2 linked regions of the Daphnia pulex genome follow. The protein of the gene in region 2 purifies or fractionates together with the protein of the main gene of each other region. This does not show direct contact. Links are inferred from orthologs where the notes say so. Each region holds a gene or a part of one and is shown on either strand. Other genes may lie near its edges.

Region 1 (4,145 bases), on a different chromosome or scaffold from region 2:
ACCGTCTTTTGTTTTTCTCTCAACAGGTAAGAGAAGAAGAAGAAGAAGAAGAAGGTTTCTTGTGGGTGTAATAAAAGAAGAAAACGGTCGCGCAACAGTTCCCCCCTCCCTGAAACCGAATGGAATGAAGAAGAAGAAGAAAAGGAAGAATGAAGGAAAAGGGAGAACCAGGTGTAGCCTGGAGGGAAGCTGAGGGCCAAAAAAATTCAACATTTTCAAGTTCCTCCGGTTCTTCTTCTTCTTCTTCTGGTATCCCCCAACAACAACAGGTGAATGGCCCAGCAGCAAGACAACCAAGGAGAACCGCCACTGTTGCCATACCGCATCATTATATTACCTTCTTCTATTTTACTATTTAACATCCCAGCAGAAGAAAAGAGGGGGAGAAGAGCTTCTTCCTGTTTTATCTAAAGAGATCGAGTTTTTTCAACCCTCGTTTTCATCAAAGTTGAGATTGATAGATTTCAACCCACCGAAAATATATCTAATACAACCGCAAAGAAGAACTTTTTAAAAATTTTTATTATTTTTCAAATTTTGGCGCCGACTTATTTACGACTCCGCTATGGGCTACTACTTGAGAATTTACTTTTTTCTTACGATAAACATCTCTCTCGATATAGTTGCCGGGGCCAGTTGGAGAATGTCACGAGTCTATAACAGCACGGGTGTCATAATATTTGGTCAAGAGCTGCTGCTGCTGCTGGGACGCTGTGTGTATTAGATATTTAGTTGAGTCTAATAAATCTCTTGAGTGGTATAATTAATCTATATATATATTTATCCTGTTACTGGATAATCTTCTTGTCGGTATATAACACAGACGATTGATGGCAGAAAAAAGGAATTTTGGTTGGTTGGTTTTGGGATCCATCTGTTCCGACATATTGGGAAACTGTTCAGTCTATTTAATGAGCTCATTTGTGCATAGATATTTTTTCGTCCATCCCATTTTGGGTGTATCGGATGATTGGCCAGGGTGAAATATTCGTGTAATTGGTCTCTCTCTCGTCAAAGCAGAAAGAACGAAGCAAGAAAATGGATATGCCATTATGAAAGAAGAAAAAGATTTCAATATCTGACGTTTTTCTTATCTACGCGTAAAATAAATAAGGGCGGAGCCCCCTTTTTTTTAGTACGAATTTTTTATTTTGGAAGAAGACAAAAATATATACGACGACAACGTCTAAACCTGCCGAATGACTTTTTTTCTTTCTTCTTTTAATCCAAACAAGGATGGGTTATTTATTTTCCCTTTATTTTCTTTTTTCGTCAAGGAAAAAACAAGTTCAGCCATTATAAATCGACCGGTTTTTCTGTTTTTCTTTTTTCTTGTCTCAATAATATATTAATCTATCCTCTCCTCCCCGATGATATCCTTTTCCCCTCCAATAAGATTTCAAACAAAAAAGGACCAAATCTCGAATTTCCAGTTTTTAGTTTCCCTTTTGATTTTAATTCCATTTAGCCATGTCGCCTTGTAGATTTTTTTGTTTTTCAAAACTTGGCGGGACCAGATCTTACTAATGAGATTTTTTGATTTTTGTTTTGTTTTGTTTTCCCTTCGAAACAATCCGCGTCGGGTCACGAATACTTAACAGCGACATCTCATCCCTACCGGTCTGCATTTATTTGTTAAAACAAAACAGATGGAACATATATCGAATGGAATCAAAACCAGATCTATTTTATTATTATATTCAACCTGCTCTCATTTCAAAAAAATAAAATTTCTCCAGTCGAATCGTTCCAGCTATTATTTAGTCGCCTTATCTCCAAATTTAGACGTTTTAAGCCAGTTTAGATTTGCGCAGAAAAAAACAAATTTATTTTATTTTTCTACCGTCCGACGAACGACGAACGACGACGAAAAAGAAGACATTAAAGAAATGCCGTAACTTTTCATCTTTTCTATTCAAACATTTTTTTCCTTTTTTTCCCGTCGTCGTGTGTTGTCCTTTTATATCATTTCTCTTTTCATTCGCCAAGGGGACCTTGTGCTATCCCCGTACTACGGCCGCAAGGATTATAAACACCGGGCCAGAAATAATATAATAATAAAAATATCTTGTCACCGGGATTAGAATGCCAAAAAAGAAAAATGTTTGGTGTTGCTGCTGCTGGACAGCCGTTGGACAAATAGCGTTTCTTTCTTTCTTCTACTATTTTAGAAGAAGAAAAATAAAATAAAAAAACACTCACCTTTATATTTTAATTTGATTTCAAAATGTGTAGGAGTTTGTTCCGGCCTCGCTCTGCTGCTGCTGCTGGTGTCTTAAAGAAAAACAGGATGATGATGTGCAATTACATCCACACACACACAATAGTCGCTGCTGCTGTTGAAGTTGTTTTTTCTCTCCGGTGTCTGATTTCAATCTACAGCACCGGTGCTGGGGTGCGCACTGCTGGACTTTTTTTTCGGACGGATCGATTGTGTCTAATAATAATAATCCATATACAACGCGCACGAATAAATCACAACTTTGTAAGCAGATAATCCATAATGGAAATCCCTGGGAATCGTCTCTGATCTTATTATTCCCTGGAAATATAAGCGATTCACTGCTGCAGACGACACTCATGTGTAGTAGTAGATCGACACTTTTTTTCTTCTTCTATTTCTTAGAAATTTCTTCCAGATCTTCTCCGAGTACACCGGAAAAAAAAAAAATAAATAAAAATCTACACAGACACACACACACACACAATCACACGAACAAAATAATAAAAATTGTTGGTTGGTTGCTGCTGCTCCTGGTAGCTGCTGCTGTTGCGGCTAAGCGTCCACACTCGACTGAGCTGCTCCGGCACGATAAAGCCACGCCATACTCTTCTTCTTCTTCTTCTTCTTCTTCTTCCAGCTCTTTTTTGTATTTTTATATATAGTACATATATTTATATATACACGGGGAAAGGGAGAGAGAAGGGGGGGGGGAATGAAAAGAAACGAAAGAGAATGAAAGAATGGTTAAAAAAGGAGAGAAAGAGAGAAAGATGGAAGAACGTACCCTGTGGCAATGCGGTTCCTATTGGTGGGTTTTTATTTTTCCCAGTCGTGCTAGCTGGGGTTCCAGCACTCTCGTCGGGTCTTTGGCACCCCCGAAAAACACAACTGCAACCGTAAAAGAAAAGGAAAAGAAAAAAGGATAGACGGACTATATCCACTCTACTAGATTCTCTGTGTGTGTGTGTGTACATTCATAGACGGACACTTGGCGTCAAGCCGAAAATAAATATCACGAGTAAAAACACACCATTGCGTGACCGGTGAAAGGATAAATTTGTTTCTCCGGATGAATAAAAATGACATTTAAAAAAAATAAAAACAAAAAAAAAAACAATTGAAGTGGAGATAATCAATTTTTCTGAGAAATCGAATCCGCTTATATTTTTTCGTGTACCATTTTATATTTTTAAATTTTTCTTATCGGCCTTGTAATAGAGAAACACACAGTTCAGGTCTCACTAAATATATATACGTCCGTTCCGCTCGAGTTGAGCCTGTCCGGTTCACCGTCCATCCAGATCCGAATTGGATAATAGTATATAAGGCTCTTGGTTTTATTTTTTCTATACAACACCAAATCATTAAATGGAATTAGATGAAGGAGAGAGAGACAGTGGAAACTATACAGCTCCCCACCTTTTTAATATCTTTAAACACAATAGAATTTGAGAGATGCTGACCGCAGCTTTTCTATGTGATGAAAACCGCATCATTGACGCAGGAGTTGAACGTCCATTTAACATCAAGGTTATACCTGTTTATCGATAGATATAAAAGATGATGTCAATTTCACCCCAAATATTTCTTTCAACACCGGTTATTGTATTTTATAGTTATTATAAACAAAGAATAATGAATTTAGCTCCTAGTTTTACACACAGACATTCTTCTGCGTTCTAAATCAAATATAAAAAGGGATCAACGTTAACTTGAAATAAATTGGAATGACAAGAATTTCCGTCGAGATAACAAGCGAATCAAAAAATATTCCAAAAATTAAATTTTTCCATTCTCTTTTTTTGGCTTGGCTTATATATACGCAACATTCCGGAAGGATATTTCATTACGTTTTGGATCTATCTCTCAGCTTGAGGGACATTTGTGAGTCTTCCGATTTTTTCCCCCCGAAATTTTTTTT
Region 2 (4,050 bases):
TAGGCATTTTTTTATACATATTATAACGTATTTACTGTATGCACCGCCGCCGCTGCCGCTCCGCTCCCTATTTCGACTTTTAAATGCCGCGCAAACGAACCATTTGAAATTTATTTATTTCTTTCAACAATCTTTTACAATCAGAGAAAAAGGGGTTAACCAAAAAAAGAATGAGATGGGGAGGGAGGGAGAAAGCCTCTTCCTCCTCCTCCTACTATATAGTACACACACCTTGATTCGTCAATTTTCAATCCAGTTGCACCGCCGGGGTCTGCTGAATTTTATAAGGAGAGGCTAATAATAATACTATACTATGCACAGGCCAAGATGGCCTTATGGCGTTCCTTTCGGAGTCATAGACACGGAAAATATGGAAGGGGGAGTGGAGGGAGGGCTGGGGGGGGGCCAACAAGTGCTAGTGTAGTGTATCATACAGCCGACCGAAATGGTAAAACAACCCAACAGCCAAAAAATAGATACATGTTAAAGCCCTCGAATTTAACTTGAACACCCAAACGGAAAGGAAAAAAAATGAAAAGCTCTGGAAAATAATAACTGGCCGGCGGGAGCTGTGTGTGTCCAGGGCTACATGTGCTATGTGCCCACCTGAAGAAGAAAAAAAATCGCCCGAGGACGAGTTGAGAAATAGAAAAAAAAAATTATTTTTTGGGTTGAAATCGCAGGAACAATTTTTGTTTTTTTTTTTTCAAAAAAAATAATCAGACAAGAAATTCTTTCAAATTAAAATTTTTCTAATAAAAACCGGACTGGAAAAACGATTGTGATATGCCACTATCAAGCGTGCGAGCGTGCGCTCTCCCAACTCGTTATCAAAAAAAATTTTCTCGACTTCACTTTTTTGTCGTTTGTCAAGTCGTTTGGTAACGGTCGCACACTCTTTCCTATCGACGTATTAAATTAAAAATGACGTGGAGAAGAGAGAAAAAAACGTTCTTTCTGAAATAGTTTCGGAAATGAGCCGACCATTTTCTCTCGAGCCCTTGGAAAAAGGTAGACGCGAAGGGAAAGGAAAGAAGAAACAAGTTGGGAACTCTTTCAGGTGCAAGTTCCTCTAGAAGCCGAAGAAGAAGAAGAAGGAAAAGAATAAAAAGAAGAAGAAGAAGAACAGGTAAAAAGGGAAGACTCGAGCTGCTGGAGGGGAATTTTAAAAAATAAAAAAGATAGGGGAAATCGGGAGAGAGAGACACTGCAAGGAGAGGCGGAGGTAAACGCAGGAGGAGGTGGGAGGGACCTTGACGAGAGGTAGAAGAAACACACGCGCCTATATTCAGTCGAAAGGCAACCGCCGTGGCGATAGCATCGCCGCTACACCAAACTCTCATTCACACTTCTTCTTCTTCTTCTTTTTTAAGTGGTTGTAATAATCACGAGCGCGACAGCAGTGTGGACCCTCGCAACTTGCCATCTATCGGATATTTGTTTTATTCTCTTTTTAATTTCTTGTCGAATTAGCGTTTCGTCAAACGGGATCAATCGAGTGTATTGTTGCGTGTGCACACGTGTGATTTAAAATGCCGGAAGAAGGCTAATCGAGAGGTGCGCAATCAGTGTCAATTTTTAAAAAGAAAAGGAAAAAAATTAATCGGATCTCATTGTGACCCCGGGATGTTTTAAATCACGTGAAATATTTCAATGGAAGTGTCGACGACGACGACGAGTAAGTGCGCCAGCAACGGCGGATTGCCGGGCAGCAGCGCTGCCGTCGTCGCCAAAGTGTCGACTGTTGCAGCGGAAGAGGATTTGGCCGCGGCGTCGGCTTCCGGTGGCAACAGGAAAGATGGCGGCAGCGGTGGTGGGACCTTGTTACAGATGCACAAGCCTCTGGCCCACCTGTTGGCCCACCGTCAGTGGTGGAAAGTCTGCTGGGTCTACGGCGACCAGCAAAAGTATTACAGACAATTGTACGGGCGCAAAAAGAATTTGACGACGCTCAGGTCGACCGTCGCCGATGCCACCAAATCCTCCTCCTTGTCTTCCTCTTCTTGTTGTAATGATGACAATAATCACCACAGCGGCGGTGGTGTCGACGACGATGATGAAGAAGACGACGACGACGACGCCGCCGTCAGTTCATCATCATTTAACACTGTGCCATGTTTCCACACCTCGGAGTAAGTCGATTCGCCCTCGCGTTAACATTTTTCTAGACCCTCAACGAAGCCTCAATTATTTTACAGAGTACTTTTTGTCTTTTGGAATTTTTTCATTCGAGTACTAGAGCCGGAGATTAACATCTCGTTCAAATCTCATTTGCAGCAAATGACGACGCTCACTTTCTAGTTGCTTTTGACTTGCATAATCTCATCCGCCCACCAGCAAAGGCAATGACAGGGAATTTCACTGCAATATTCCAAATGCCTAGCGTGTGCAATTTGAATGACATTTGGGCTACTGAATGAATTTCTGTTTCTGTGGTGGAACCCGGCTGATTGCCCATGGGCCATTTAAGCAGATCGCAAGGTGGTGCTTTTTCTTTTCTTTTTTGAAGGGAAACGAACAAATACCAGATAGAAACAAGTTTAACAAAATCAAGTTAGCCATTTTTTTGTTGTTGTTGTTTGTTTGTCTTTTTTTGGGTTTTTTAAATTTATTTTCTGGTTGGTTATACTATTAAAGGTGGGTGGGTGAATACGAACAGGTCAGGAGAGACAAATGGTAGGGAGTTGGAAAATTTCGTATATTTTTTTTTTCCGAAGGTTTCACTTCGCTTGATTGGTTTTTTCCAAATTGGGGCATTTTCGGTCTGGTTTGATCGAATCCTCTTTTTTCTTTTTTTTTTTGTCTTGTTTCCCTTAACTTATTTTTTCCCCCCTTTTCAAATATTATGGCGCGATCGGCCAAGATACTACAACTATATGCGGCCATGACTTTTTTCACTTCTTCTTCTGGTCCGATGGAATGAAGACCGAGTTCCCTATGGCTAGGTGCGGGGCCATAAAACCTGAAAAAGTCTTCCCTTTTTCTTCTTCTTCTCCGGAGTCATTCAAAAAAAGCGCCTGGAAACACCTCTTACCTTGGGTAGCGAGAGGTGGCGAGCTCGGCGAACGAGAGAGAAACTCGAAAGAGAAATGACTCGCTCTCTCTCTCTCTCTCAGCATCTTCTTCTTCTTCTCGGCGCACGCATCACCTTATTCTGACAACAAAAGAAACGGGCCGTTTTCAAACGAGACGGAAATAAATGTGGCAGGAATAATTAGCAGGTCGTCAACTTGAGCATCTCATCCTTAGTTAAAGGGAAATTCTTTTTTGTTTTCGTTTTGTTTTTGTTTTTTTTTGTTTTTTCCCTTTTGTAATTCTCCCGTACTACTCCGGTGTTGTAGTAGTCGTAGTAGTCGTAGTAGTATATATTCTATCTTTACTGTAACTGTCTGCGTTGGATGTTGCGCGACCTCCGTTTTGGTTGATTGCCTTTTCGAGACGATAATGAAAGCCCCAGTATATTTATTTATATAAGAGCGTAGCAGCAGCAGCAGCTGAGGCAGCTTCGAACCGTTCGTTCCTCGTTCGTTTTCTTTTTTTACGACCGTTTTCGGCGATGCGCCATATCTTGGAAATATGTTTGGTGTCTGTGTGTGTGTTGGTGTTCCAAAGCTAGAGAAGAAGAAATACTAAAAACAAACAAGAAGAAGAAGAAGAAGAGGAGGAAAAAAAGATCAAAGTCACAGAAAAAGACCGACGAATGTTTAGTTGTTTTCTTTTTTTCTTATTCCTCCTCGTCTGATTTTAAATGTGCCCATGTTCGACTCGACAAACCGCTTTATTTCAAATCCTTAGATAGAAAGAAAAAAACAAAAAACTACGAAACAAGAAAAAAAAAAAAAAAAAAAGAAACTGGTCCAGACGACTTGTATTGCATGTCCGGGACAGGTGCCTGGGTGTCGTTTGGTAATGACTGGGCAACCGACCCGAACTGACGTCCTACCAGCCAACCACCAGCACCACACATCTAGTCTCTAAGCCAAGCATAAAATCAAGGCAGTTGAAGAAACGACGCGTAAAAAATGACCATCTCTTTGACTTAAAAGAAAA

What was found. Proteins that work in one complex are often made in the same cells at the same time.
Region 1: the proteins of protein prickle-like (region 2) and vang-like protein 2 purify together in Drosophila melanogaster (affinity purification with western blotting; 6 studies listed by BioGRID). This does not show direct contact. The link is inferred for Daphnia pulex from reciprocal best matches to the Drosophila melanogaster genes pk and Vang.

Annotation. Positions count from the first base shown.
Region 1 is NC_060018.1:12,086,841-12,090,985, reverse strand, and holds the start of vang-like protein 2, read right to left. Parts: upstream 2,860-4,145; 5' UTR 2,203-2,859; intron 1-2,202.
Region 2 is NC_060020.1:6,129,697-6,133,746, reverse strand, and holds the start of protein prickle-like, read left to right. Parts: upstream 1-1,243; 5' UTR 1,244-1,653; coding exon 1,654-2,132; intron 2,133-4,050. UniProt on the Drosophila melanogaster protein: Acts in a planar cell polarity (PCP) complex; polarization along the apical/basal axis of epithelial cells. Correct expression of the alternative isoforms is required for PCP signaling in imaginal disks.